Linked DNA regions of Tamandua tetradactyla. The protein of the gene in region 3 interacts with the protein of the main gene of each other region in a biochemical or structural test. Links are inferred from orthologs where the notes say so. Each region holds a gene or a part of one and is shown on either strand. Other genes may lie near its edges.

Region 1 (10,115 bases), on a different chromosome or scaffold from region 3:
CAGGCCCTCCTTTCTGGGCGTCTGTACCCCAGGCCCTTTGTGTCTCTCTCCTCCTTCCAGAGCAGAGCAGCGTTAGTATAAATGGGCACCGGGCATCCCTCTAGCCCAGCCCTAATGGATAGGGGGATCCACGGCCACGTCCTCCAATCCTGCAATTGGGGTGCTGGACTAAGGGTTGGGGGCGTGCCTCCACTAGCCCCACCCCCTCCACGTTTCCCATTTCCTGACTTGGCCAGGACCCCCTCTGTGCACCGTCTGTACCTGCCTGGCACAGTGGCCCTACAGTCCTGTCCCCTCAGGAGGTGCCGACATCTGAGGTGGCATCAGGCCTCAGCAAGGGGGAGTGTGCTCCCTTCCTGGCCTAAGCCCCCTGAGGGCAGGGAGGTCCAGGATTCTGAAAGGAACCACCACTGAGCACCTAGGAAGCTTTGTTTATTCAAATCCTGGCAAATATGAGCTCCTGGATTTGCTTTTCAGGACAAGGCGGGGGATGGAGGAGGTTGAACAAGTTCTGATTTCCTGATGTAAGCTCCCCTTAGGAAGTCAGAAAGACAGATTCCCTGTGCTCTCACCGCAGCCCAGGGAGACATGTGCGGGCTGCTGGCTGCATGTGCATTTCTGAGGTGGCCCTGCCAGCAGGAAGTGAGGGCAAAGTTTAAGCAAGAAACTGGATTTTAGAAAGGTATTAGCCAAGCCCAAATTACTCAAGAGGCTTGGAAAAGGCCTGAAGGGGGTTCTGGAGCAAGAGGGTGGCTGCAGTTCAACAAAATAAACACTCCTGAGCACCGAATGTGTACGTGTAATACAGACAGCGAGGAAAACAAAAAGAAATAGCACACGTCCTTTCCCTCGGGCTGCTCGAGGTCATGTAAACACCCAAAAACAATCAAGTATGATGAGGACTGTAACAAAGGCAGGTGCCAATCATGAAGGGTCCCAGGAGAAAGTATTTACTTTAGTTTGGGGATTCCTAAGCAAGGATCGAGAAGTTGCAGGAAGAGAGGGTGCATCTGTTTCCTAAGGCAGCTGTAACACATCAGCATGAACTTGGTGACTTAAAAACCACAGAAAGTACTGCCTCACAATTGTGGAGGCCAAAGGTCCAAAATTAAAGTGTCAGCAGGGGTGTTTCCTCCTGCAGGCTCAGAGGAGAGACTGTTCCGCACCTCTCTCCTAATTCTGCTGGTCGCCCCACGCCTCCTCCTAGGAGCTCCAGGGCTTGGAGACACGCCCTCCATCTCCACTGCGGCTGTCCCCTGGCCTCCTCCAGGCTCTCCTGTCTCTTCACAAAGTGTTCTCCCGCTGTGCGTCTGGGTCTGTGTCCAGATTTCCTTCCTCTTATAAACCGACATCTCTTGGACTTAGGGCCCATCTAAATCCAGGATGACCTCAATTTACCTTGATTAGCTCTGCAAAGACCCTACTTCCAAATAAGGTCATATTCAGAGCTTCCGGGTAGATGTGCATTTTGAAGGGACGCTGTCCTGCTCAGCACCGAGGGGGCAGGAGGGGCTGGTCACCGCCTTGTTGATGTCCTCTCAGTGACTTCTCACTGCTCTCAGTATAAAGTTCAGACCCCAGTGAGAGCCCAGAAGGATGTGCCTGGTCCTGCGCTGTCCAGTGTGGCGGTCACTGAGCACCTGAAATGTGGCGTGTGTGTCTGAGCAACTGAATTTTTTATTTCATTTCATTTTAGATGACTTAAATAGCCAGGAGAGATACAGGATATCTCCATCATCACAGAGCTGACTGACTGCCTGTGAGCCCTGTCTTGTGCCCACGCCCCTCTTGTACTGTCACACTGGCCTGTCCCTTCCAGGGACACACGAGGCTCCCACGCCCTTGCTCCTGCTCCTGAGATGGGCTCAGGACCGACCTCCTGCTCCAGGCCTCGGCCCACTGTCTGTTCCTCATCACCACGACTGACGCCACCCACTTCTGTTCTCTCTGTTGGCCTCCCATTTGGTCCTTTCCCTGCACTGAATACAATTCATAATCACTTTTTTCATTCATGTGCAAGCTTACTCTTTGTCTGCCCCACTAGAATGTAAGCCCTGCGAGAGCAGGATCCCAGGCTGCCTTTTTTCATCATTGTCTCCCCAGGGCCTGGAACAGTGTCTAGCCCGTCAGGGCACTCAGAATGTATTCAGGTGACTAGGTGAGGGTGCTCTAGTCGAGGGAGTAGCACAGGAGTAGCACTCCTTGGTGACTAGCCGGGGGAGTAGCACAGATGCAAAGGCAGAGAGGCAGGCATCCGCATGGGGTGAGTGGCTGAGGGGTGGAAGGGAGAGAAAACGATAAGGGAGAAAATGCAGAAGTTATTTAGAGATTGGGGAGGGGGCAGAGTGGTTCACAGAGAAAGTTGTAGGGTTCTTGAAATAGGTAGCCATTGAGGAATCCACTTGTCTGGCCAAAGGAACTTGCTAGAAAAGGCTCGACAATGGGGAACTGGCCCCATGGCAGCTGTCAGAGCAGTTTGAACATGGGTCAGTTGCAGGGGAACAAGGCAGAATAAGGTGGGCCCATCCTGGCAGGTCTAGGGGTCCAGAATGGAAGCTACCTCTTTCCCTGTCCCCAGCTCCCAAGGGTGTGTGGTCTGTGGAAATTTGGGGCACAGGTGAAGGTGGTCACCTCTTCTGGGGAGCTGGGAACTGAGTAAGGAAAAATTTTGGTCCTGTCATTTTGGAGGCAGCAGAAGCCCCAGAGACCTCTTCTCAGCCTTCACCCAGGCTGGTCTTCCCAACTGGCCCAGCCCCCCACCTCTTCCCCATCTCCAGAAGATGAGCTCTGTAAGGGCGGAGCTTTTGTCTTCTTCACCATCACATCCTCCAGTGTATAGGAGGGTCTGTCATATACTAGATGCTCAATAAATACTTGCTGAATAAATGAATCGCTGTTCCATTCTTTTAGTCACTGAGAACTAAACACTGAGAACTCAGAACACACAGGTCATGGTATGTTTTAACTTTCAGGAAGACTAGAAGCCTTGATGATGGAGAGTGAAATCTGGGTCACGCATAATGCTCTAGGGCAGGCAGCAAACAGAATTTGAACCTCATTCATATTCATTCATTCCAATGTCTTTGAAGATGAAAATTTACTCATCTTGCTTCAGAATCCAGTCTAAATTAGCTTCTTTCAGGAAGCTTTCCTCGAACTACCCCCACAACCTCCAAATTCAAATCAACCCACACCCATTAGAATTTTTTCACCATCTGAATATATGTTCTGTCACCTGGGGGCATCCCATTTGAGAGATCAGTTCGTGTGACAGTGCCTAGTGACATCTATTCTCACTTCAGGAGTATTACCCTCTTCTCTGGCCTGTTTCTGAAGCCCCACAGAAGGTGGGATCCAGCAGGCAGAAGAGGGAGAGGCCAAGGAAATAGCTCCGGCCTGCTGGCTTAAAACCATGGACCTGAGCCCCCAAATAAATCTTCCAGCCTGAATATACCTTGCACACCTTGGCCAGAAACGTGTGACTTGACCACCCTTTCCTTTCCTTCTCCAGGCCAGAAGTCAGAGATTTGTTTGAACCCAGACTTCCCCACTGACTTAACCTCATGCCAAACGGGGAAAAATAATAACTCCTCGAGGGGGTATTGGAAGAACTGACTGAACTAATATATGCAGAGAGTACCTGATGCTGGGGCACAGAGGGGATTCGGTGGTGATAGCACTTCCTCTGTCACCTCCAGTCTTTTCCTTCCCCTTGAGGACAAGGGGGAGACACAGAAAATATTGTCCAGAGGACTCCATTCAAGAGTCTCCTGCATTGCAAGTCCCCACAATTGACATGAGAATTATAGAGTGTTAGGGCTCGAGTGGATCTTAGGAACCAACGACGCTGCGCCTTCACTTACAGATTTAGGGCCAGGGGTGGGGGTGGGGGAGGGACTGATCTAGGATCAAGAAGTTTGTTTGCGATACAACTAAAACTGAAACCCTCCTGGTCTGACTTTCATGCCCTGTGAAGGAAAGAGATGGATGTTGGTGAAAGATTCGTCTGTGAAACAGTTTCTGAGCCACTGCTTTCCATGGGGGAATGCACAGGCGGCTGCTTGCACTTGCACTGAGTGCCCAGGCTTCCTGCCCAGGCCTGGCTTGGCCACGTACCAGCTGGGATTCCTCATCTGAATAAAAGAGATGATAGTGTTGGTTCCCACCTCACAGGTCCTCGTGGGGATTTGAATAAATGGTCCCCATAAAGGGCCCATACCTAGCTCTTCCTAAGAGCCCTGTCAGTGTTGACTATTGCTATCAATATTTCAAAATAGTATCAATAGCAAAATGATAGGGAAACAGATAGAATAACTGAACCTGGAAACAACTTTTAAAATAATCAGTTTTAGCTTCCTGGGACTCACCTTTTATAGGACTATGGGCAACTCCAAATCACCTCCTTCAGGGCTCTTCTACATCCTGGAAGGTAGCAAAATTATCATTATTTAAAGACTTAATTAACACTTATTATAGCTAGCATATTAGTTCTTAGATAGGCCAAATGTGTGATACAACAGTATTGTATTTTTATATGTTGTTATGTGTACTTTATAGTACATTGGGGCCCTTTTATAGTTGGTGTACATTGTACTGTAATGCCCATTTTATAGGATGTTTATAAGGGAGGCCAGTGGCAGAGTGAGCACTGGATTGGGAGTCACCAGAACTGGTTAGAATGGAGGCTTTGCCATGACTTAGCTTGGTGACCGCAGGCACAACCTCCTCTTCTCATCAGTAAAATGTGGAGGCTGGGATGGATAATTTCCAAGACTGCATTGAGCACTGACATTCTATGGCTGGAAGCAGAATCTTAAAATTTTCAGCGATGACAGAGTTTTACAGGTGTTGAGCCTCTGCGTTTGTGACATACTGATGGTCACATCTCTAGCTTGTTTGATGCTGACTTCTTGGGAACAAAAGTCTCAATTAGAGGGCTAAATAGAAAGAAAAAACTTTCTATTAGGAACTATAATCTGCCTTACAGTAATCCGCTCTACCAGGAATGCACTGTGGGGGAAAGCTGGGGCTCTCTGCATAGGACCCCCACTTCTCAGGGTGGAATTCTCATGGATCCTCAAGTCGTCTTGACCCTTCCTCCACACACAATTCCTAACTAATGCAGATTCCTGATTTTTCCTTCCTCTGCAGATTAGAAGAGCAAACTAGAAGTGGGATAGATCAGCTGTGAGTGGTCACTACAAATGATAAAAGTGACAGCTGACAATATAATACCGCTGGAGAAGACGTGCAAACTAAAAGACTGACAAGACTGGACCACTACCCAGTTCAGTAATGGAAGTCCAGAAGCAGAAACCCCTGTCACCAAGAAGTGTGTAAAATGTGATCTTATCTTTTGCTTAAAGAGGCAAGGTGGAATATGATACCTTTTAGAAAGATTTCCATCAAAGTAGTTTTAAAAATGTCCAGCTCTTGTTTCATACCAAATTCACAGGTAAAGGCTATCTTGGTGCCTGAAAAGGATGCTACAGGAATGCAATATCATTGCATATGTGCATCCAGGGGTATGTACGGGCAAAAGAGAATATATATAGGGGTCCTACAGTAATATGCCTGCAGTGGGGATGTTTTATAGGCAAGATGCACTTCTAGTAAGGATCTGGGTTGGAGTCAAACTAGGCCTAATTCACTTTAAATTAAATAGCATTTATTCATTCAACCATTCAAATGTATTTTTTAAACTGAGCACCTAGTATGTGCCAAGCACCATTCTAGGCGCTAAGAATGGAGTTCCTTGACCACAGCCTTCAAGGTGTAATACCAGGCATATCCATGCATGACAGGTATACCCTTTTTGTACCTCAAGTCCTTGACAAGGGCTTCGTGTCCCACCGCACTCCCTTCAGAGTGGTAAACTGCCTTAGAATGGAGGCTTCTGAGACTGAGCACTCCACGGTCAGTCTGGGAGCCCCCATCCACAGGGCTGGTCTCTGCCGTGACCTCAGCCAGACGCGGATGGGCACCTGCTTTCCCATCTGGTCAAGAGATCCTCCTTTTTCCTCGAGAGAAGATCTCTCTCAGCCCTGAGCACACACTTCCTCCCTGAGCGAGCAGGACAGAGGGGCGTCTCCCCGGGAGCCTCGCCACCTACACGTCGTGAGGAGGGGGAAGGGAGAGCAAGGAAGAGAGAGAGGGAAGATACCGACTGTCCCAGACGCAGATAGGCAGCCCAGCCCGTCTCCTCCCCCTCCCCCTCCCCCTCCCCCGAGAGTGCTGGCTTCCGCAGCAGCGGTGCCCTGTAGCTCGGCGACTGAGCAGAGGCAGCGCGCCGCCGAGCCGAGTGGGTGGTGCAGGGCAGGGGTGGTATATCCAGTCTGACGGAAGGCGAGCCGAGCCAGTGCCAGGAGAGGACGAGCCAGGGTGCAAGCGCCGGGAGCAGCTGGCGGGAGCCCTCACGCGGACCACTTACTCTATGGCCATTGGGAGCCGCTGAGCGCGAGAAGAGTACCGTCCCGCCCGCCGCGCCGCACCTCCCCGCGCCTCTCTGCTCTTCCAGGCCCCGCGTCCGCGCGTGCTTCCCGCCACCATGAACCACTCGCCGCTCAAGACCGCCTTGGCGTACGAATGCTTCCAGGACCAGGACAACTCGACGCTGGCTTTGCCGTCGGACCAAAAGATGAAGACAGGCACGTCGGGCCGGCAGCGCGTGCAGGAGCAGGTGATGATGACTGTCAAGCGACAGAAATCCAAGGCTTCCCAGTCGTCCACCCTGAGCCACTCCAACCGAGGTAAAGGATTGGCGCCCGCGTGGTCCGTGCGCCCCCGCCCCGGGCGGGAGCCGAGGTGCGCCGGGGAAGGGAGGGGGACGCCCGCGCCAGACCGGGTCTGAGCGGAGTCTGAGCTCCCCGCCGGTTCCCACGAGGCTCCCGCCCGGGACCCGCTCGCCCGCTCCGGGAGCTCGGCGGTGCGCGGGTGAGCGCGGAAAGTGGCTCGCTGCCCCGAGGCTGAGGGTCTCCCGCCGGTATGTTCTTCGGACCCGCAGCTCGGGAGCGCGGACCTGGATGTCCTTTTCTTTCCGAGAGCTGCTAGGGGGAGGGGAGGAGACCAGCCCCGCAACCCAGCGGTCGCCGAGGGTGTTACGCCCTCCTCCGTCCCCTTCCCGGGCTTTGCGTTCCACCGCGCCTTCAGTCGGGCAGGGTCCCAATCCTGTGGGACCGCGCGGCGTGGCGAGGAGTGGTCGATGAGCCCAGGTGCGGGCCCGGGAGAGGCGTTGCGGAAGGCGGAGGCGGCGGGAGCTGGGCCTAGCCACCTGAGCTCCCAGGCACATCAGCGGGAGCCTCCCGCGGAAGGAGAGAAGTCTGGTTCTAGGGTCGCTCAGGAGCGAGCAAGCCCCTTGACCACAGGAACAGGGATAGAGAATCCCTTCCTTCCCGTCGCTAACGCAGGAAACCTCCTTTCCCACTGGATTCTCCTTCCACCACACAGCTTGAGTAGTAACAATCATCTTAGGGGAAAGAAAGGGAATAAGACAAGCATGGGATAAGGCAGAGTAAGTCAGGGTTGGGGATTCCATCAGATTCAGGAAGGACCCTACCTGAGCCCTCACCGGCGCTTTTCCAATCAGGGTGCTTGGCCTGAGTTTTCTTCCCTTGGACTGCAGACTGTGTGGATGCCAAAATCCCCAGACTGGGGGTGACTGGGAGAAATAGAACCCCCAAACTAGAAGAAGTAAGAACTTCACAGAGACATTGTGGAGAACTTTTAGCACATATACTTTAATACAAAGAATTCCCAGTAAGAATTACATAAAAACTAGTATGTAATTTTTACTTATTTATAGTTTTATAATTATTACTATTGTATTTTTGATTTTGATAAATTTAGTAAAATGTTAATGAAGACTCTGCAGATTGCAAAGTAGGACAGGTCAACCAAGATTTGTTTTGTCGAGCAAGTCCCTTATGAGAGAGTTAGTGATAGCAAGGGTAGTAAGGAGGAAAGAGACAGGTCCTTGTTTATTTTGCAGATCAAGGGGCACTGGTCAAGCCAACCTCCTCTCTTCCCTGAACAATACTTACCTGTTCCCTTTCCGCTCCCACCTCCTCCTTGGCCTGAGCTCCAGGCTCACAGCTCTGGAAAAATCTCAAACTGGCCCCAGGTGCCTCAAGCACGCCTCCTTCTTCCCACCTGTTGGGGTGCTGGCTGAGCCTCTATTGTCACGAGTGCTCTCTTTCTGGCCTGTGTTTGTGGGTAACGTCTCCTTTGTTCTCTCTCTGCTTCAACACCCTAAGTTCTGGCATGGGGCTCCAGCCAGATGAGGGTTGACCCCAATGGCTAAGGGATACCTTTCCAGAAATGGGGCTCTCCAAGGAAAGACCACGTAGGCACATTCCCCTCTACCCTCAGCTTCAGGGGAGATTCCCAGCCCTGCCCTAGCTGGGCAAGGCAGTTCGGCCACTTGGAGCTGGTGTTTCTGGTTTATCTGGCTTTGTTTTCATCAGATTTCCCATCTTCTCCATCAGAGGTGCCCAGCGTTCCCTGCTTGGCTCTGTGGCTGCCTTTATCCACTCTGCTCCTTCTTCTCTTGGGCCTCCTATGGCTCCTGGGAAGGAAAAGTTAAACAGAGAAGGACCATACCCCAGGCCACTCCCCTCCTTCCCCTGGACAGGCTCCGATTCTCCTTTAGTCTCCAAGAGCAAAGAGTTGTTTCCTCTGGAGTCTTTGACCCATTTGGGCCCCCTGGATCCCATCTGGGGCCCCCTAGTTAAAACTCTGCCCTAAAGAAGACCATTCACATCCCACACATTTTCTGCTAGTGTCTGCCTCTCCTGTGCCCCGTGTAGGGCAGTTGGGAATAGACCACTATGGCCCTGGCAAGAGGACCATCTTTTCCTCAGTGCCCTCTCTACTAGGGTTCTTTTCTGTTTTATCAGGGAGGGGGAATTGAGTCCAGGGCTGGAAGAAGGAGCCCCATGAAAGGAGCCTGGCACCAAATGCCTGACTTCATCCATGTCCTCCTTGAAATGCAAAACACGAGACAGTCACCTCGCCCTGATCAAGCAGTCCTGGGGCAGGGGGCTCTTCTCTGTGGCCTGTAGGTATGATCTTCTCCTGAACTGGCCCCTAGGTATTGCTCCCCCATCTTCTGAGAGTCCCTGTGCACATGAGGTATCTGAGAGGTAGTTTTCTTCCCCGCTGAAGCAAGAGGAAAATTAGGGAGACATGGCTTCTCAGCAAAATATCTTTGGGGGGAAAAATTGACTTCACTGAGTGTGCAAAATTCCCTCCAGGAGTTGATAATGAGCCTCCCTGTGTTGGGTAAAGGGCTGGTGCCTTGCTTATCCAGCCTTAAAGGAAATACCTTTCTATATTCAGGATCTTTATCACTTCAGGTGAAACTTATTTCTAAAGTTTAATACAAATCTCCTTTGAGTCAACCCCCCATAACCCCTGCTACCACTGTGAACACACATCACATGGAAAGTTTGCTTAAATAAGCTTCCTTTATCATATTCCTCATTCCGGGGAAATCCAGACATTACCAGTGCCATTTGCCTAGTTTGTTGGCAACTCTCTTTGTAGACATCTGTGAAGTTCTTAGAAGTACCATTTTCCATCTAAAATTGCTATGCTTGTATTTCTCTCTAGACAGAGATAGGTGTAGGGGGTCAACGTTGGGCCAGGGGAGGTGCCTGGGTCCCCTCATGTCATGCCTGCATCCTTTCCGTCCTCCACACTACTCCGACCACTCCTGTGGGACAGGCTGGTGCTAGCTCTGCAATGCACGCGGGAAAAGCATCCTGCCTTAGAAGCTCCATCCCTCTTTTGGCTTTTTTGTATTTGTGTCTGGCTGTCTCTCAGCACGAACCTCTGCCTGAGCACGGCATCTGTCGTTATCCTCTCTTGAATGTTGTCCTTTCCTGACTACAGTGAGCAAACATCCGTTCTTGGTTTGTTTTCTCTGGACCAAAGCTATGATGGGAGATGGTAAAGCTTTAGCTTTGTTCCAGCAGTGAAACATGCTAATTAAACTTTAAATGAACCAGTTCCTATTTCTTTGCAATGTATCTTGGCTTGAAGTTGGGATATTAGCCAAAATTTCCATCAGCCTGTTACAACAAATGCAAAAATTCCAGGGTGTTTCACAGCAAGTG
Region 2 (9,712 bases), on a different chromosome or scaffold from region 3:
TCTTCCTCCTATCTAACCTCCACTCCTCCTATAAGAGAATCGGTCCTAATCTCACCTATGTCCTCAACGGGGGTGGAAAACTGCAAGCCCATCACCTCCTCTACAGCAATCAGCCACGGCTCAGTTCCTTTTCTTTCCCTCTCTGTCACTGGCCCTCCATCTTCTCTCCCCCAAGGTCAAGATTCCCCAGGCCTGGGGTCACCTCCTGACCTCAAGGAATCCAGAATCCCAGGGACGACAGGTTCAAGCGCCAGGCTGCCCTTCCACATATAAGGTTTTCCAGACCCCAATTCCAAGGGCCATTCTGGTGTCAGGTGCCAATTTGGCAGAGGTGCCAGGCACAGGCAGGTCTAAGAGGATGGTCTGATGCCAGCTCCTTCCTCAAGAACCAAGGCTGGTCCCCACCTCAATCACCAGAAAGGCCCTCCTAGCAGCTGAAAAACTACTCCTGGGCCCCCTCCTCACCTCCCCGGTTTCCCAGCCTCCAAAGCAGAGGACAGCCAGCTCTGCACCAAAGAGCAGCCTGTCAGCCCCAAGGGGTACCATCCAGCAGGACATTAGCCCAGGGCTAAATCTGACCCTTGTTTCTCTCCATGCCCTAGGGAGCAGGCCACCCTATATTTTTGGCGCAGGCCCTGTCCCCAGAAAAGCAGACAACTCCCACTCCCTATATAGGGACAAGCCCAGAACAACCCAGATTCTTCCCAGCTGGAAGCAGGAGGCGGCAGCAGCTTTGACTCCTGCCAAGACCCCCCACCCTCCCGGCCCCCAGCCCTGGGGAGGTAGCCCCCATCCACTGGGAACTAAAAACCAAGCTACAGGGGAGGTCTCGGAGGGCTTGAGGCTTAGGGATGAGTCACTTCCACCCAACATGCCTTCTTCCACCTCCACTACACACATATACCTTTTGGGTCCTTCTCCCCTATCTCCCAGACAGAGACCCTCAAAAAGGGGCAGCAAGGGACTGTGTAATACAGTGAACCCTCGTCAGGGTGAAAATGTTCTAGAATTGATTGTGGTGATGTATGCACAGTTCCGTGAACATCCTAGAAGACAGTGATTGTACACTTTACATGGATTGTATGGTATGTCAATTTATCTCGATAAAACTGCTTTAAAAGGGGGATAAGGGGCAGTGCAACAGTGGCTCAAAGTGGCTGTATTCTCACCTGCCATGCCGGAGACCCAGGTTCAATTCCCAGTACCAGCCCATGTGAAAAATCACATGGGGGTGGGGGTGGCAACAGGAAAATTCTGAGCTGCAGCAGGGAGTTAGGGGAGGATGAGCTCTGGGCTTGTAGGTAGCCCAAAAACCCAAATGCCAGTCCCAGCCCTGCTCAGGGGCTTGCTGTGCAACCTTAGGCAAGTTACTTAACTTCCCTGAGTTTCTGTTTCTTCATCTGTAGAATAGGGATAATGATATCTCCTGCCTCTAAGGATTGTTGAAAGGATGAAGTGAGGGCTGTTAATGAAAGTGCTTGGTAGCTGTAAAATCCTCCCTTATTTTTAAATTTTAAAAGTTACTGTTTATCAAGTACTCCCTGGGCAGATAGGTACTATTGTTCCTCATTTTGTCAAAGAGGTCACTGACACTCAGAGAAGGGAAACGACTTGACTACGGTCACATAAGTAATGAGTGACAGAGCCGAGATTCAAGCCTAGCTCAGGCAAAGTCCAAATCCCTGTGCTGAGAATTTTACCCCACTGAAATGCCTTTTCCAGTAACCACCCCTCAGCAGGCCAGTGCGTGGCTGTCTCCTTTTCCAAGAGCTCCCGGGCCGGCAGAGCCCCTCCCCTCGTCTGTGCTCCCTCCAGGGGCCTGCAGCGAGAGCCCAGCCCCAGCCTGACCTCCTAGATTCCTACTCACAGCATTCTCAAAATCTCAGTCCTGGCGGCCCAAGCAGGGTGCTAGAAGGTGGAGCTGGGGGTGGGGTGGGGGGCGGGGGCAAGTGGAAAGGGTTCCTATCACCCAAGCTGGGGCTTGATCCAGCAAGAAATGACTAATCCAATCCTACCTTTTCTTTCCTTCTCCCTCCTCTAATATCCTCCTCCTCCCCTCCAGCAAATAGCCAGCTTTCACAAGCACCTCCTAGCAATAGTCCTGAGTATTATCTTTTCATCAAGGCCCCAAACCAGATTACCTAAACGAATCATCCGGCCAATGTAATTACAATGCCTTCCCCTCCTCCACCAATGCACTGCGAGGAGAAGCGAAAACAGGATATTTTTGCCCAAACTCCAGGCCCCTGTGGCTCCCAAGAGGTGTAGTTCCCTACCAGTCCCTTCCCCAGCCCGGACTACTGCACAGGAATGAGCCCTGGGGGAAGAGGTGGGGCTGAGTTACTGGTTTGAGACCCCCTCCTCCAACTCTCCATCCACAGCCTGGAACAAGGCGGTGGCATCTTCCCAAGCGGGCCTGGGTAAGCAGCTGGGATTCTCCCCTCTAATCCCCACTTCGATCCTAGGACTGAGGGAAAGATGGGTCTTACATATCCCCACCCCACCCCCAAGGACTGGACTGCTGGACTTGTAAAAAAGCCACACCTCGGGTTTTTAGAAGGCAGCGTGGAAAGCCTGGTTGAAATATCCAGCTTGGGTGCAGGAGTTGGGAGACGTTCCTCAGGAAATAGGGGGAAGAGGTTCGGAGGGGACTCTGCTCCAGAGAGCCTAGTGTCGAACAAACTTCCCTCCAAAAGCATTCCTCCTGTCCCACTTTCGCCATCAAAATCTCGCAGGAAGGTGGGGTGGGTGGTAAAAGGGCTGCAAAAGCTTCCAGAAGGAATGTACCTTTATACTTCAGAAATCAAGTAGAAATCAAGACCCATTGCTCCATGCTCTTCTGCCTCAATTACCAGGCAACTAAAGAGCATGAGGGATGGGTGGAGAAAGAAAAAGACAAGAACAGCCCATCCCCGTTCCCAGTCTGGCCCAGACCTGCCCCACCCCCCATTCCTGGGATGGGGGTGCCCAGAGCTCGGGAAGGAAAGCCTCCTCCGAGGGGGTGTGGTGGTCCCAGGAGGCAGGAAGAGAAGGAAGAAGCTGCTTCCCCTTTTGGCCCACAGCCCCCACCCCAGGCCCCACCTCAGGCCCCTGGGGCCCAGCAAACAGGATGGAGGCTGGGCTGGGGAGGACAGGGTCTAAGCACAGGGCTGGCCCTGGTCCAGCCTGGGGCCAGCTGGGGGAGGGGCTCTGCCCTCTGCAAGAAGGACCCCAGAAGCCTGGGGTAGTTCTGGGCAAGGAGACAGGAAAACCCCCAGAGAAAGCAGCAATGAATACTTCTTCCTAGAAAGTTTGCTTTGAGTGATTTTTCCAATAATAAGATGTTAGAGAAGAAGGGTAGTCCTGTTTCCATATTAACATTCTGGAAGTCACAGCTACTGGAAACTGGGCCAGGTGACCTCTCTGCTCAGATTCCCAAACACAGACCCCCTCCACCCAGACAGAGCCGAGCCGCGGGTGCAAACATCAGCTGGCGCAGACCCGACCCTGCACAGCCCCACGGTCACCCCATCTCGTCTCCCCTGGGAAGCCGTAGCCCAGCGCCCACGGAACGGAGGGAGGTGCCCCAGGTACAGTACCGACCGGGCTCCGGGAGTGGGAGGGCAGGGCCTCTGGCCTCCTTGCGCTCACCTGCTCGGCAGGTGGGGACCGCGTCGCTGAGAAAATGTGTGTTCGGCCCCCAGAGTTGGGCAAGCCGGGCGCAGACAATAGGGCCCCACCCAGGCCTGGGGGAGGAAGGAGGGAGGGAAAGCGAGGATGACGCGTGGGGTGGGGTGAGGGTGGCCCCAAAGAGACCAGCGACAGCAAGTTTCCCAAACAGTAAATTTCCCACTGTAGAGTGAGTGCGACCTGGGACCCAGGCACAGCTGGCCAAAGCCTGCTCGGAAGGCGCGGAGAGAGAGGCAGGGACCCGGCGTCGGGAAAGCTCTGCGGCCCCCGACGAGAGCGCGACCCGGGAGGCACCTGCCCTGATCCCTCCCAGCCCTTCTCACATCTCCCTCTCCTAGAGTCCCAGTCGCGTTCGGACCAAACCTCGCGCCCCTTTAGTCGCCGCGCCCAGGTCCCAGCGCGCCCCCTGCCGCTGGTGCAGGGTGGCGCCCCCCTACCGCCCTCCCTCACCTGCCCTGAGTAGGCTGGGAGCGGCCTCCCTGTCCCTAGCCGCCGTTTCTCTCTCCCCAGTGATACCTGCCCCCGATCGTCCGCACCTGCGTATGAAACCTGGCCGGGCAGGGTCGGGGACGGGCCGGGATCGGGGCCGGCGCGGGAAGCTAACTGAACTCGGCGCGCTCGGGCGGCGGCTGCTCCGGACTCTGGCCAAGGCAGCAACTCAGTAACCGAACAAAAGGCGAAGGGACCTGACAGCCAAGACACGCCTTTCGCCCCCTTGAAGCTCCGCCCCCCAGGGAAACGCCCACCCGCTGAAGCGAGTTAACTGGCTGCCGCGCCTGACAGTCCCAGCGAGGGGCGGAGCCTCGCGCCCAGTTTTCTACCACGGCCGCCTCTGTTTATCCGCTCGCCATTGGCCCCAGGGACTGCCAGTCGGCTCTGGGGACTGACTCTTAACTTCAGGTCCCATCCTAACTCCGCACCTACTGGCTAATAAAAGGTTACTTCCTCCTGATTGGGCAAGGGGTTGTCAGTAAGACTCAGGAAAGACCAATGGGAGAAATGGGGTGTATCTTGCCCCACCCTAGCTCTGAGCAGGTAAGACTCATTTACTCTCCCCCCTACCTGTCCAACAGGTGAGTCAGGGAGCGCCCTGGGAAAGGACAGACGCCTTCAGCGGCCAGCCAACTCAGCTACCAGCCAACTCAGCGTCAAGCATGATGCTTCTTTGGGCTTATTCACCCTTGTTCCAAAGTAGTAATAAAATATTTGTATCGCATTTCTGAGAGTTTTTTGATGGGTTGGGATTTTTCCCCAACAAAAGATGCCATGCTCATGGGATTTAGAATTAGAAGGCCTGGATTTGGATTCTGCCACTTATTAGCTATATGATGTCTAAGATGGGTACATTAATTATATCCATCTCACTGGAGTATGTGGAAGTTAAAAGAAGTAAGATTTGTGATAGCACTTGGAGAACTAAATGTTAGACTTTAACTATATGTTTTTTTAATTCTCAATACAATTCTAAAAAATTGTTAGGGCAGCAGAACTATGTTTTATTTCACAGATGAGGATACTGAGGTTCAGAGAGGTCACAGAACTAGAAAGTGGCACATCCTAAGCCAGAAGCCCTTTCTTCTAATTCCAAGGAGCACCAAGCCACAGATTCTCTTGGTGGAATGACAGTATAAGCATAAAATGTCAACGTAGTAGGTAAGGGTTGGGGAAGAGGCAAAAAAGAAGCACTTGAGAGACGGAGGAGCAATAATTTGGAACAAAAATAGACAAAGTTCTGATGTAAACAGATTTTGGTGAGCTTGGAAGAAGTCATGCAGCAGATCTACAGGGAATCAAGTACTGTCATAAAATAAAAGGGGGGCAGCAGGCCCTTCAGTAGTGGAAGAACCCAGGTTAGATATCAGAAAGAACTTCCCTAATGACATGTTAAAAAAAGACAAGAATATTTCCTTTTTGTGGTGGATGAATCCTTACTGAAATGAAATGAATGTTTGCTGGTGGCTGTACAGTGTGTCGAGGATTCGACTGAGAAATTCATTCATTCATCACATAGGTATTGAGCCCTCACTGCATGTAGGCTCTGGGTTAGACCCTGATGACACAGAAAATCAACATGATTCCAACCCTCTGATAGCTCACAGAGGGATAAGAATAAATAGGTCATCTAACCCAACCAATGGGTGGGAGGTAGGAGTGGGAAGTGGTTACTCAGGAAAGGGTCCCCCTCTAAAAAAAGCTTTATACCCCAGAAGCTAGCACACAGATAGGGCTGGGTGAAGGTACCCCACCAGAGAAAAGAATGGCAGCTGAACATTCTCCCTTCTAAAACTCATGCCCTCCAAGAAGTCTTACTGGAGGGGACCAGGGAGACATTTAATATTCCAGGATCTGTTGCCATTTCACATGCCAGGGCCACTGCTCTTTGCCTTGCTTCCCACCACATTCCCTTCCGGCTTATCTCAGCATCTTTATCCCCACCTCCCCACCCCCCCACCCCACCCACTGACTTGCCAAGCTGCCACACAGGGCAGTGGCCAGCCCGCACACTGAGAGGACAGTGCTTAGAATCCTAGGCTGCCTCCACGACTGCCAGGGTTTCACTTCCTCCCCCTTCCACCTGCCACATTCCCCTCCCCTGCCTCCCTACTCCACCTGCCCCTCATCTCTGCTGTCCTGCAGGCGGGTACCCACCAAGCCCACACACACTTCCCCAAGCCTTGCTTAACCCTCCTCTTTCTCCTGACTTCAGCATATAAACCAGGCAGAGCTGGCTGGCTGCAGAAGGGTGGAGGAGTCTGCCTGGGGTGGAGGGCAGAAATAAGGCTTTAGGATAGCGTGTGTGTGTGTGTGTGTGTGTGTGTGTGTGTGTGTGTGTGTGTGTGTGTCTCCCCAGCAATGCTCCCTGAGTCTCTCACCCTGTAACATGCAGCAGCACGCCACTCCCAAATCTAAGTGCACAGGTTGGGACTGGGTAGAGGCAACGCAGCAGCATCAGAAAGACAAATAAAAGCTGTCCCCATTTCCAGATCAGGGGATTTTCTGCACATTTATTAAGTGCCTACTATATACTTGCCAGACGGTAAGGACAAAGAAAAGAACCAAAAAAAAAAAAAAAGGCTTTGACTCTAATCAACTCTCTATAGGAGACTTGATTGTGTGGGGATGGGGTAGAGAGGTGGGGAAGATTGAAGATGAGAGCCTAGCTGTAGGGACGGGGGTCACTGTGGCCCCGGGCTCCCATGGAGCCTGATGTTGAAGGAAAGTCCCTTCAGTCATCTTCTCCAGTCCCCTGCTCCAAAGCCTTTAAAGGCAGGGATGTCCCTTCTTGACAAATTTCCAGGAAAGGAGATTCCTTAGCCTCCCTTATAGCAAAAAGTCCTTGCCCTCTTATTCTTTCTAATGTCTATTCTCAGTTCACATCCTTGCAGTTTAAACTCACTTCTCTCACCCAGAACTCAGTGAAAGCAGAGACCCTGGGTCTCCCAGAACCTATATGGTTAACTCGGACTTGCAGCTCTCCGGGGTCTCTGAATAAAGTATAAAAGGGCCCCAAGGTGGCCTGATCCAAGGTGCCCCAGAGACAACAGTGACTGGCAAAGAGGGGCCCAATGGATGAGGGGCTGCTGGGAGGGAGGAGAGCTAGTGGTGGGGGAGGGCATTTCACTTGGGGAAGTTGTCCAAAACAGTCAGTGTCAGGGCGGCCAGGCCAGCCAGGCCGGCCCTCCACCCTCCCAGTTTAGCAGCTTATCTCACTTCCCCTCCTCCTTCAGGAGGCCACTGGGCCATATAAGGAGGTGGGAGAGTTTCTATTGTCTATTCAAACACAGCCCTTTCTCTCCGGGACCCTTCTCCCAGATAGAGGGCAGGCAGAGACTTAGATCCACACACCCGCACACAAATGCACAGCCTTCCACACTCACACCACAGGGAGATGTGTTCACTGGTGCAGATTCAGATACGCGAACACTAGCCCTGTCAGTTTTGTCTTCCCAACACAGAGACACACACCATTCTTCCCTCCTCTTCACCCTAAGGTGGCCTAAGGGAGAGCCACAGGGGTGAATTGAGTTGCCCGAACTTCAGGCTGATAATGGTACCTATTCATCCCAGAGCAGCCCCACCCCTGGTATCGCAGCAGCAGAAAATGAGAACAGACGACTGACCAGGAGTTCTTCCCGGTGCAGTACAAAAAGCCAGCGGTGTGGGCCCCCCAGCCATCTCCCAGCCCAGGGGCAGAAACCTTAGACCTGGGGAGGAGGGCTCTGTCCTGCACCCTGCCCTTTGGAAGGTCCCGCTGTGGTGGCCCTCCGCCACGGGGGGCCAACGCGACGAGCCTGCACCGACCGCATACCGCGCCCCTTCCAGACCACGCTGAGTACCCGGAACTCCGCAACTGCTTGCCCAGCACTGACCCTGCTTCCAAGGCCTGTGGGCCTCTTACTCTGGGGCACCATAGCTGGTCTCTGCACCCTTAGGCCAGAGGAGTGACAGGGGCAGTTATAGGGGTGGCGGTGGAGGGTGGGGGTGGGATGGGCAGAGCATGGCCATGTGAATTGGGCATTTACATGCATGTGCTAGAGGCCCTTGGTGTAAGCAGAGCCAGGGGAGGTGGCCCCCCAGGGGACTGGGGCCCTGGGCTGCCATGTTCTAAGAAGCTTGAGGATTCTAAATTCCATTTTGACCTTTTAGGTCATTGTGGAACTATACTTATCAAGGTACATTTTAGTTAAGAGTCTGGTGGCTGGATTTATACCTTAAATATTTAGACCTATAGTGTGTGCACCTCTGTTTGTAATCTGACCCCTGCTGGTGTTGGGGGTGGGCTTGCTCAGGGTGACCCTCTCACTTTCAGGGTTTGGGGGAGAGGGGCCTCCAGGCTCCCAAAGTCTCTGGCTGGTGTGGACCCAAGCTTGGCCTGAACAGAGCAGGATGGTGCAAGGCCCCAGAGTTGGAGTGGGGCAGGGCAGGGGGGCTGCCCATTTGTTGCTGCCCTTTGTCCAGGGGAGGAGCCTTGAGGCCAGAGGCTGCTCAGGGTGTGCTCAGCAGGCCAGGGAAGGACTCTTAATTATAGTCGTAGGTCCAGTCACACTTTACAGCAGGGAGTGTGGGCGTGATGGAATGTCAGAGAGAAAACAGGGAGACAGGAAAACAGAGATAGGATGGCACCGAAATAACCCAGCCAGGGTGAGATACCAGCAGCCAGTGGTGGTAGGGGGAGAGGGCAGGACCTCTCCAGAGAATGCCTGTGTCTGGGTCGCTCCCCCTTAACCACGCTGAAGCCCCCAAGTGCAACTGCAGCACTTCAAGAGCCCAACAAGGCTGGTTCCAAGCATAGGAATTGTATTCTCGCACTGGGTGTCCCTGGCTCTCTGAGCAACCCCTCCCCCTCCTGCGTGGTTTTGGGGGAAGGGGAGATGGGAACCTGCTACCTGAGTCACCCCCCTCCCTGCTCCTGGCTAGGGCGACTCCATGCACAGGCTGACATAGCTGGGGCCCCACCCACCCTGCCAGCCGGCCTGCCCCTCCCTCCCCATACAAGCCAGGAGAGATGCATGCCCTGACAGGCGCTCTTCCCACGGCCACCACCCCTCCCCGCTTCGCACACATACATACACGCAGAGGGAGGCAATGGCAGGAATTTCTCCCCCACCTGTTGACAGTCCCGGGGACGAAGGAAAAGTCTAATCAGAGCTGCCTTGTATATAGAGGGAAGCAGAAGCCAGAGCCAAGAGAAGGCCTTCCCCTAAGGCCACACAGAGCAAATTTCTGACAGGGCTGGGACTTGAACCTCTGGCTTCCACCCATCAGTCCATCTCTCTAGGTCTCTTTCCACCCCAATAAAGGTAGGATGCAATGGAGGAGATGAGAATCAATTTTTCAGGAAGTCAACTTGAGGAGTGCCTTCAGGAAAGCCTTGGGATTGGAGAGCCAGGGCTAGGGGAGGCGGCCGGCTGGCTGGCCCTCCTCCGGGACCTAAATCAATAAGCCTGGCCTAACTAGAAGCCTTACTTCCTCTACGCCAATACTACCAATAGCCAGAGCAATAGATTATGCAAAGAGACCCCCCCTCCTCCCAGGTCCCCCA
Region 3 (10,134 bases):
ATATAAAATATCCCCAGATTTTCTTTTGGTGTCTCTGCCTTGTGGGAGCGAAAGCCTACTGAGCAATCTTGCAGCGGCACACAATGCACTATGAGGGGGACAAAGGTGAATCAGACACAGAACCTGCTCTTAAATGACTCACAGCCATGAGCAATGGGCAGCCATTAATTTGTAAAGAGATGATTTCTTATCAGACAAGTGTAAAATGCTGTGCTCCATTCTCATAGGCCTTTGAGAACAAGGACCAGTAACCAGACATATTAAAAAAATTAAATCCTCCTGCCTAAGTGCACTGCAGGAATTTGCATGCCAGGCCTATCCCACAAGGGTGGCATGACCCAGCGCTCTGTGAAGGCATGTCCTCAGCTGAAAGGAGCATAATAAGTCTCTCTGCAATGCTAAGCATGCTTCCCAGTAAATAGCAGTCAATGCCCTGTTGGGACACAGGAAATTCAATAGCAATGTCCCGGAAGAATTTATAGGGGAGAAAGAGTCATCAGAAATTAAGTTCTCTGGGTATAGATGAGAATGTCATTTTTCTAGATTCATAGCCTCATTAAATTAATGAATTTTGTCCCTGAATGGTTAGGTCTACAAGGGTCATCAAATCAGCATTGCCCAGTGCTTTAGTTATTTTCTGTTACCTAAATCAGGGATGGCAAAATGTTTCTACTCTGTGGTGACACAAACCAGCTGACAGTGACTTCCTGAAGGTCTGTGCTAAGAAGGATTTTGAGGTCTCATTTAGTATTTGATCACTCAAGAAAGTTTACACCAGAGGCAGGGTCATACTTGGCTTAAATGCTTTTTGGTTTGAGTTTGATAACGGTTTCATCCCTTTGTGAATCCAAAAGACTTTCATTATATATTTCTTACGTAAATGAATGCAGTGATTTCTACAGATGTGAAGGATTCCACGACGACTTCGTGGTGATAGAAAATTTGCAGTGGTGACAAATTTGTATTCCTTTTTTAGTAAAGAGGAAAGATGATGCTCATTCTAAATCTGCACAGGAATAATAAAGCTTTGAAGAACACCATATAAATGGAAATGCTCATGCTTAAATCCAATTTATAAATTTCATTTAATAGGTATACTGCTTCTATTTTTCAGAAAATATTTTACTGAAATGTTCACATCTACAATATATGTCACTACAGCCTGTGCATAAGAAAGTATAAATTTTGCGTTCGAAAGTGTGGTTAAAGAGTTTCCTCTTTTGCTTCTCTTCTGTTTGGTCTCTACTAGTTTGTTCTTTCTCATGCTTTAGGCATCAGTGAACGCAATTATGGGAGCTTGGATATTTGGGTCAAATAAGTGGATGGACTATGTAATAAAATAAATTTTGTTTCTGTGTTTTAGCCTATGTGCTCAGAAATACTTTGAAAACCTCTTGCTTATATACTAAAGAATTGTAGCTAAGTTCAAAATGTGGGGTTAACTTATCAGGTGGTTGGAGGAAATACCCAGGAAGACAGACGATTTACAATGAATTGAAGAAGTCAGATTATTCTTGGTAATTGTTAGAAATAGTTTTCTTTGTTCTTTGAACTTAAGCTGCAGAATTTGCTTTTATAGGGAATGAAACTTTGAGATTTGTATTGATTCAAATTGACTAATTGAAACTTGAAAAGTTGCAAGTAATATTCAGAAATCACTAGTACCACAGCAGTTCTTATTCTATTTTTCTTTCCCACAAGGACCATGCCATACCTTTTACAATAGTGACAATCATCCACACAGATTTCTTATATTTGGTTCATAAGGTAACATTTTCTTTTTGCCTAGAGAAAATGTATTCTAATTCCTGCTCTTCTCCTCACCCCCTCACTGAACGTACTGATTTTACAGAAGCTGAACAGAAAGAAAAATGAATCAATAAAATTTATTCAGCCTTCTGTGTTGTAATAGGTATAAACTATTGTCTTTCCAGGAGAACTATCTGAATAATGGAACAGTCATGGAGCAATCTTTGCTGCTTTATGAGAAGCTCCTCTGGCTTTATTTTCCCTGTTCCAGCCCACTAATTTCAACAAAGGTCCAGAACCTTCAGGTATTTTGATCAATGTGTACAATATGCTTGTAAGCAAATAGCTGCCCAGCTCTCAAATGGATTTGCTTTACAGATACTACTAGTTTAAAAGTCTTAAGGGTCTTCTTCACCATTGGGGAAATATGCTTCCTAACATGGATTTTTATTTATCAACTTTGAACAGAGAATCATATATACTTTAGCAATATACTGTACATGCTTTTTGTGTGTGTGTAAAAATAAGCTTTCATTGCAAAAGATAATTGAAAGAGTTTACTTAGTGGTGGTTGTCTTTTGGGGAAAAATTATTTTCTAAAGCAAAACACATGTTAGATAACTCCCAAAGGCAGTTACCCAGGCCATCTAGTATATCAGTAGTAAAAATGTATTATGATTTGCTAAATCTTAGAAAATGAAAAAAAAATTTTTAATTATGCTGTTGCTATGAAATGAAGCATTTTAATTCATTATAGAGTAAGTTATTTGAGAAATAATTCTCATAAAGGGTATGAGAAATGTGTGCTTGATTCTAGGTAAAATATGGCTTAGTAACACCCCTCAAATCACACTATCCAGACTCAGAAAGCAAAGTATAAATCCCATAAACCTTTCTCCAAAGAGAGAAAGTTCAATGGGGATATTTGATTTTGATAAAACAATGCTTTTTATTGAAGTGTAACAAATTAGGAAGGAGCTTTTAAAAGGAAATTTATAGGATGTAATTAATTAGAAATAATCATATAAATCAAGAAATAAGACATCTCTCATAGATTCTATTACCATTAGTGTATAAGCATCTGAATAAATTTAATCGGCTGAATCTGTAGTAGGCCATGAGGGATCAATTTTATATGACATTAAAGATAAAAGTGTTTCATATATGGCAAAACACAAATGTTCAGATGTTCAAATGGCATATTGTATAATGTGCATTGATCCCTGCCACATAGCAAGCTATGACATCAACTTATCTTAGAGATCCATTAAAAAGTCCACAGTTCTGTGTGTGGGGGGGGGGTAGCTTGGCCCTAAAGCTACCAGCTGATTGAAGCTCATTTACCCCTGAATCTACTGTTGACTCCTTTTAATTCATAAACAGAATTCAAATTCATCCTGTACACTGAAGTTAAAAAGTCTAATTTGTTGTTGTATAAACCCAACATTCCAGTTCAAAAAAGCAAGTAGAAACAAATATGAACCACAACATATCTCCTGTCAAGGTGGAGAGTGATTTTGCTGGCACCTGCCTTGGTGGATTACCTTAACTACACTGAGATTACTATTTTAAAATTTTCACCATGAGTGAAATTGATGCAATAACTTTGGTGCTGCATTTAGCATTATCTCTAAGAAGAGAAAACCAAAGGCATGGCAAGGGAGGCAGTGATAAAAAAAACATTTCATTACATTTTTCTCACCATCAAATGTAGAACTTGTATATCACAGTCATTACTGACTCCAGGAGTAAGAACAAGTATGGTAATAATTATTCTTACTCCTTAATTATAGCCATTCCTTCACTTACTGTGTCATTTATGAATCCTTGTACTGTTGTTTTTTGGGTGAAATTAAAAATGCCTTTTTAAATAAAATCATGGGTTCTCAGCATAGGGCTCCAAATAAAAGCAGCATGGCTCATAACCTCAATAGGAGGTAGTGGGATGGTTTGGATAATCAGGGCAGTCAGAAGCTGCTGTGATTTTAATTTATATGGATCCTATTTTTAATGCTTTAAAATTTATGAGGAATGATTTAACCATCAAAAGAATGGAATGTTTAGGTTAAAAATCAGGACATTCCTGGGTTATTTAGTTTAAAGGTCCATTGCAAAAGAGAAATTAGGACAATAAAGTGTTACTGAGTAGTAATACGGATTTCCCAAATTCAATAACTTCCCAATATGACGAGCACTGATTTCAGTCTCAGAGATGGATGTCCCCAGTTGATGCTGGTGCGTTAAGAAGATCTCAGGTCTTCAATTAAAGAGAGAAACACTGTTTAAAAATCTAGTTCATAAAGTCACCCAGTCATTAACATAAACTTTTAATAGGGCTAGCTTAGAAATGCTATTAAGTAACATTTTCTGCAAAGTTCCCACCTGTTTACCCTGAGAATAATTGTGAAGGATTTTTGAGAGTTCTCTTACCAGAAAAATGAGCAGCGCTGCAGCTGTCCTGACGGGGTGCCAGTCCATTGCTGCTGGCTTTCTTACATCCAAAACCGAGGGAGTTTTGTTTGTTCTTCTCTGTTCTTTTTCTTTCCCCTTCTCGGCTGGTGTTCGATTAAAATAATTTCTCGGTAGATGTTCTTACATGCAGGCTTTGAGGTGTTTCTGCCTTCCTCTGGGAGAAGGACTGAAGGTACGTATAACCTGTCTGGATCCCCACCCTAAAAACTTGGGCTGGTCTCACTGAAATGCTTGACACGATCGTTGCTCCCAGGTAGAAGCTTAGGGACACACCCTTCTCCCAGCTGCTCTCTGTGGGGCATCGGAGAGAGTCACCCCTTATCTGACGGTTTTCAGGGACAGGCATTTTAAATGATCAACAGCGTGAAGAGATGGACAATGGATAGGGGCTTTTCATACTGTGGTTTATTTACAGGTTGCTTTCCCTCTTCCTATATTAAAAGAGCAAGTGTGATCTAGATGCTTAGATTATTCAAAGAGGATCTGGCTGTGCTCCCGGCTACACCCTCAGGTCATAAGTAGAAAATGATGTATTTTCCATTTCAGCGGATATTAGGATAAGATTCAGTTATTTTCTGAGTTGTTTAAGATGGAAAAAATGTGTTAATGTTGAGAGTCGATATCTTTTTTTTTTTTAGTATTAATTCAAACGAGACACGACTATGATACTTACAAAGTCTTCTGCATATGTCACAGTTTTCTTTCAGTGACCAGCCTGAAACATGGGAAGCATTGTTTTCTAACTGAATAGTTTCTCTCCCCAATTATTTTCCTCTCCTTAAGAGTCTCCCTTTTCAAATGCAGGGAGATCAAATTAAAACTATCACTAAGCTAGATTAAAAGTAAATTAAAATCAAAACCGCCAATGAAAATCCAGCTGATAGTTTCTGAAATGAGGCTCAGTGGCTGAAATATCATTGAAACACAGAAAGCTGCTCTTCAGGTGAGGTGGGTTAAAAGTCAGTGACGATGCCCAAGCACAGAGCCAAGAATCTGCATGGTGAGCCAATTAGAACATGGGGAATAAGCTGGAGAAATGGCTGCCCACACATGCAAATGAAACTGAATGCAGCCCTGAGCTTTGCAAAAATAAAGTGTTGCTCATGAGGCAGTGTTCGCAAGTTTTCTCAAGTTATCTTCTCTTCATTTGGCAATATCTAGGAACATTGTGAGTCGCAGGGACCCTGTAGATACTGGATGTCTTCAGAGTTTGAAGCAAGAGATCTATCTGATAATATATTGATTATGGTTGAAGGGATATTAGGAATGTCTCAGAGGGGAGGTTTGTCACTGAAGGGCAGAGGTTCTATGGAATGCTGCCATTTCAGAACAGGTGTGTGGCAAAGAGCGTTACTCAATAGTGGTTTGAAATGTCATGCTATTCATCATGGAGCTTCGAGGGAAGGAGATACACTGCCTGCTTTTATTTGCAGTGATTAATAATATTTGTGATGGGAATCGGTTGATGTGAATGGATAAAATAAAAGGAAATGGTCAGGTCAAATGTATCATTAGCCAAGTAAGACAGAATGTAAGTGTCAACCTGTGACTTAGTCTGAGCAATATATTAGTAGTATCTGAAAATATGTGAAGCAGTAGAGAGGTAAGGCTCAATGCTTGTAGCTTCCCAGTGGCAAGTGGCAAGTGAATGTTTTTTCAATCTTATTCTCTGCACAGGCCCTCTGCATCCATAGAAAGATCCTTCCCCCCAAGCCTAGCCCTGACTCCACCTCTAACTCAAAGCCCGGCCCCAATAATCCCAGCCGTCTAGAGCATTCCCGAGGCAGCAACCTAACCTCTCCCACGGCTTTCATGGGGAGGAGGTGTGGCAAAACCTGTAGCTTGCAGAGCTAAGGCTGTCCTGACAGTGCACAGGAGTTAGTGGCATTTAAGCACAGGTGGGGGAGTTAGTTTATGAGTCACCCCACCATCCTTCCTTTCTTCTCTCACTACCCCTTGTTCAACTTCTCAGCTGAAAGGAGCTCTATTTCTTCTCCAGCTTCCAATCAGCACCTTTTGATTCCGTTTCCTTTATTATCTCAGTTCATCCAGGCCCTGCTCCTGACTCCTTACTGATCTTATTTCCTAATTCCACTGAGGTAAGAGAATTTAAAACATGCGACCCAAACCTCTGTTGTTTCCATGTTCCTACTTCTCAACTCATTCTTCCAGCCCCTCATCTGTAATGACCTCACAGCACATTGCCGCACACCTGTGTTCGCTTTTTCCGACCACCTCACTGCACCCTATGCTGACTCTGAATGTTGTTTAGTATGTGTCCTGCCCCCTACATGTCAACGGTTTTCACTTCATGGACATTTTATGAAATTTGGGGTGATTTTTACGGCTCTGGAATTTCCCTGGCAAGCTGACCCAGACCTCAGCATTCTTCTGGGGGGGAGGATTTTCCTCTCTCCTAAGACACTGCAAACCCCAGAACATCAATTCAAGTGTCTATGCTTCTGCTTTTGCTCACAGCTTGGAAAACTGAGATTCCTTCTTGAAAAACAAATTAGCATCTTAAACTAAATTTGATAAATCTACTGACCTACGATTTCTTCAGCCCAATTACAGTAACTCATTTACAGGACACCCGCAGCATGGACATGTCTATTGCAGAGAAACTCTTTGGCATATGATTTCACGTTATATATGAACCTCTAGTCTCATATACATGTCGAAATTACCCTAATGAGCTCCACATATCACTTAGAAGAGATTGAAAAAACATCAACCTTAACACAGAGAAGAAATCAAGGCAAACATATTAAGGAAAGTATCAAAAATGATTCATCCGTAAGTCAATGCCACATATGCAGGAAAATAAAAAGTCTGGGGAGACGGGACTGCTTTTTTTTTTTTTTAAAGACTTGTAATATATAACAAACAAATGCAATGACTCATCTTCATTGATTTGAACAAAACAGCTACAGAAATAATTTGGGAGGTATTTGGGGAAATTTAGATATAGACTAAATTTAGGTTTAGATATAGATATAGTAATATATTTAGCTCACATTTCATTATTTTTCCATGTGAGTATCCATTATTGCAGCATCATTTGTTGAAATGTTGTTTGCTGATTTTGCTTATTTGTTTTTTTTGGGGGGAGGCGGGGAGTGCAAGGACCGGGAATTGAACCCAGGTCTTCCGCACGGCAGGTGAGAATTCTACCACTGAACCACCCTTGTACTCCCCTTAGTAATATATCTATTTTTAATCATAGTGAATGCTAAGTTATGTAAGGTCGAAATCCCTCAGTGACAGAAATTTTCTTTGTAGTAATTCGACAATAAAATAGATGAAGTACATATCAAGATGATGGCAATTTAAAATCTAAGTGATAGTTATATAATGTTCTATTTTTCTGTATATTTGAACATTTTCATAATAACAGTAAAAATAGTAGGATTGGCAAACTGTAACCCACAGGCCGAATGTGGTCCAATGCATGCATTGTTTTGCTGCTGTTCTTTTCTTAAATTGAAACACAACCATACCCATTTGTCTATGTGTTGTCCAAGGCTACGTTTCCTCTGTAATGGCAGAGCTGAGTAGTTATGACAGAGAGGGTGTGGCCTGAAAGCCTAAAATATTTACCTAACTGACCATTTACAGAAAAAGTTTATGGACCCCTGGTTTAGATCAATTGATCGTAGTTTGTAGTATCAAGTATGGCTTCTTAGTCAATAGTTGATCTTAGAGGAATCCACAAGATTTGATGTTAAGTGTCTGAACAGAGGTCTTGATGACTGAATGTATTCCCTAAAGTTAAAGCAACTAATCAGAAAGACAGTTTAACTGGCTAGATGATTCTACATCTAATCCTTCTTCCTTTTAAATCAGATTTAAGGAAAACAATTTTACTTTTCTCTAGTCAATTTTAGAAGGGGAGTTCAATTGCTGTCACCTCTTTATGTACTTTTCTCTAGATAGAAGTATTTATGAGCAGGAAAAGTTCCAAAGGATTTTGAGAATCTTGGATGCTATCTTAAGATTTAAGCATTACATGAGATTTTAGCCTCACAAAATAAGAGTGGTGAGAGTTCAAGACTGAACTATTATTATCTGTACTTTAAAAAAGTTAAAAATAATTATAACTAGGCATCCACTGCACGTTCAGTACTGTGCTAGGTGCTGTAGAATGTTCAAAATTGTTTTTAACTCTTTTTAAGGTTTATACTGTAGATACAAACACACTGAAACAGCCAAAACTACATGCATACATGTGTGCATATTAACTAATGCCCCTGAGTGCACTTATGGATTTCATGCACAAGTTCAGTCCTTCCTTTTTACTTATATAAATTATGATCAGTTAAGTTCTATAATTTTTATGTTTTTTTTTGTTTTTTTTTTTGCCTATTGATGTGCTTCACACTATACAAGGGACTGGATTACAAAGATGGATGTATGCAAAATGGCCCTTACCCTTAAGCGGCTCCTGGCTAGTTGGAGTGAGACAGATAACAGATTTGCCCTCCAGTGTAGTAAGCAGACCCATGCATGTGTGCTAGGCTCGGCAACCCTTGGCCCAGTTTTATTTGCTGTGAGGTTAGAGAAATCTCATACTGTTAAAGACTACACGTTTATGACATGCTAGAATCAGTTGCTACAGTATTTGATTTCTTCCTGTTTTCTTTGTGTATTACCTAAATTCCTCAGGTGACAGTTTAAATTTTACATCTTTTGTTTCAGATTGCCTTTCTCTCTCCATTTCTGCATTTGAAGACCCTCACCAGGCCCTCATCACCTTGTATTACTGTACCACAATTCTCGCAGAAACTTCTGCCTCCAAACTCTTCTATTTTAATTTGTTTAATCTTTATTTTCCAGAATAGTATTTCTGAAACACTGTTTTTCTGATGCCATGCTTCTTCTCAAGGAACTACAGTAACTGTTTCCTAGCAGATCTAAATGTCTTTATATTGAAACTCCTTGGCAGCAAATTTATATCTCTAAGATATTTATTATATCCTGTAGAAACAAAGTGAAAATCACCCTCTTTTTCCATGGGCATAATAGTTTCCACCATTGTCTTTTATTTCTGAAGACGCTGCTTTTGTGGGTGATGATATTGATATGTTTCAGGGTAAAATTGGTAACTGATGTTTGTCTGGAATAGTGTCCGTTTACGTGTGGGTATAGTCCATGAACAGGTATTCATTTTCAGAAACTGTTGTGGATTGTGGTTTTTTCAAGTTCAAGTTCGCCAACATTTCTTAAGCTCTGCTAGGGACTGTTAGTTGTCTAGGGGAGTTAAATATAGGTACTAGAAGTCCCTATCTTTAAGAAGGCTAGAGCATTGACGGGATCTCAAAGGGGCCATGAGGCTTGTCTCTGTCACAAGGCATATTGGCCTATGTGCTAGTAGAAAGGCCAACAGGGTTTTATGAGATCCTGCAAAAGGGAAATCATTTCTGTACTAAGAGAGTTGGACAAAACATCATGGAAGAGATAGATTTTGAGAATTTAAGGAGAACTACATTCTCCCCCAATGGAGATGCAGATGGGAAACAAGGCAGAAAGGGATGTGAATTTTTTCAGGCCCCAAAGGAATCAAATTGGATTAAAAGTATACCATTTGTGCACATGTGTTTTTTTCTTTTTTCCTTTTTTGCTGAGTAATTGAAAAGTAAGCAGCAGATATCAGATACTTCATTTGTAAATACTACAGCATATATCTCTTATGGACAAAGAGTTCTATTAAAAAATCATAGTTTGGGTGGGCCACAGTGGCTCAGTAGGCAGAATTCTCACCTGCCATGCTGGAGACCTGGGTTCGATTCCTGGTGTCTGCCCATACAAAGAAAAAAAAAATCAAGTTTAATCGTCTTTGAAAATAATACATGAGTGCATAGGATTCCTCAAAAAGGGTGGTGACAAGAGTAAGCCTTTCTTTAGAGAAGAATG

Evidence for each region.
Region 1: the proteins of DSG1 (region 3) and PKP1 form a complex in vitro, tested with the Homo sapiens proteins (2 studies listed by BioGRID and IntAct). The link is inferred for Tamandua tetradactyla from reciprocal best matches to the Homo sapiens genes DSG1 and PKP1.
Region 2: the proteins of DSG1 (region 3) and JUP form a complex in vitro, tested with the Homo sapiens proteins (2 studies listed by BioGRID and IntAct). The link is inferred for Tamandua tetradactyla from reciprocal best matches to the Homo sapiens genes DSG1 and JUP.

What each region holds. Positions count from the first base shown.
Region 1 is NC_135330.1:58,340,339-58,350,453, forward strand, and holds the start of PKP1 (plakophilin-1), read left to right. Parts: upstream 1-6,270; 5' UTR 6,271-6,547; coding exon 6,548-6,749; intron 6,750-10,115. UniProt on the Homo sapiens protein: A component of desmosome cell-cell junctions which are required for positive regulation of cellular adhesion.
Region 2 is NC_135332.1:25,400,780-25,410,491, reverse strand, and holds the start of JUP (junction plakoglobin), read right to left. Parts: upstream 4,366-9,712; 5' UTR 4,186-4,365; exon of another isoform or gene 4,180-4,185; intron 3,741-4,179; exon of another isoform or gene 3,579-3,740; intron 3,570-3,578; exon of another isoform or gene 3,440-3,569; intron 1,086-3,439; exon of another isoform or gene 1,026-1,085; intron 1-1,025. UniProt on the Homo sapiens protein: Common junctional plaque protein. The membrane-associated plaques are architectural elements in an important strategic position to influence the arrangement and function of both the cytoskeleton and the cells within the tissue.
Region 3 is NC_135344.1:51,946,128-51,956,261, forward strand, and holds the start of DSG1 (desmoglein-1), read right to left. Parts: upstream 4,468-10,134; 5' UTR 4,228-4,467; coding exon 4,180-4,227; intron 1-4,179. UniProt on the Homo sapiens protein: Component of intercellular desmosome junctions. Involved in the interaction of plaque proteins and intermediate filaments mediating cell-cell adhesion.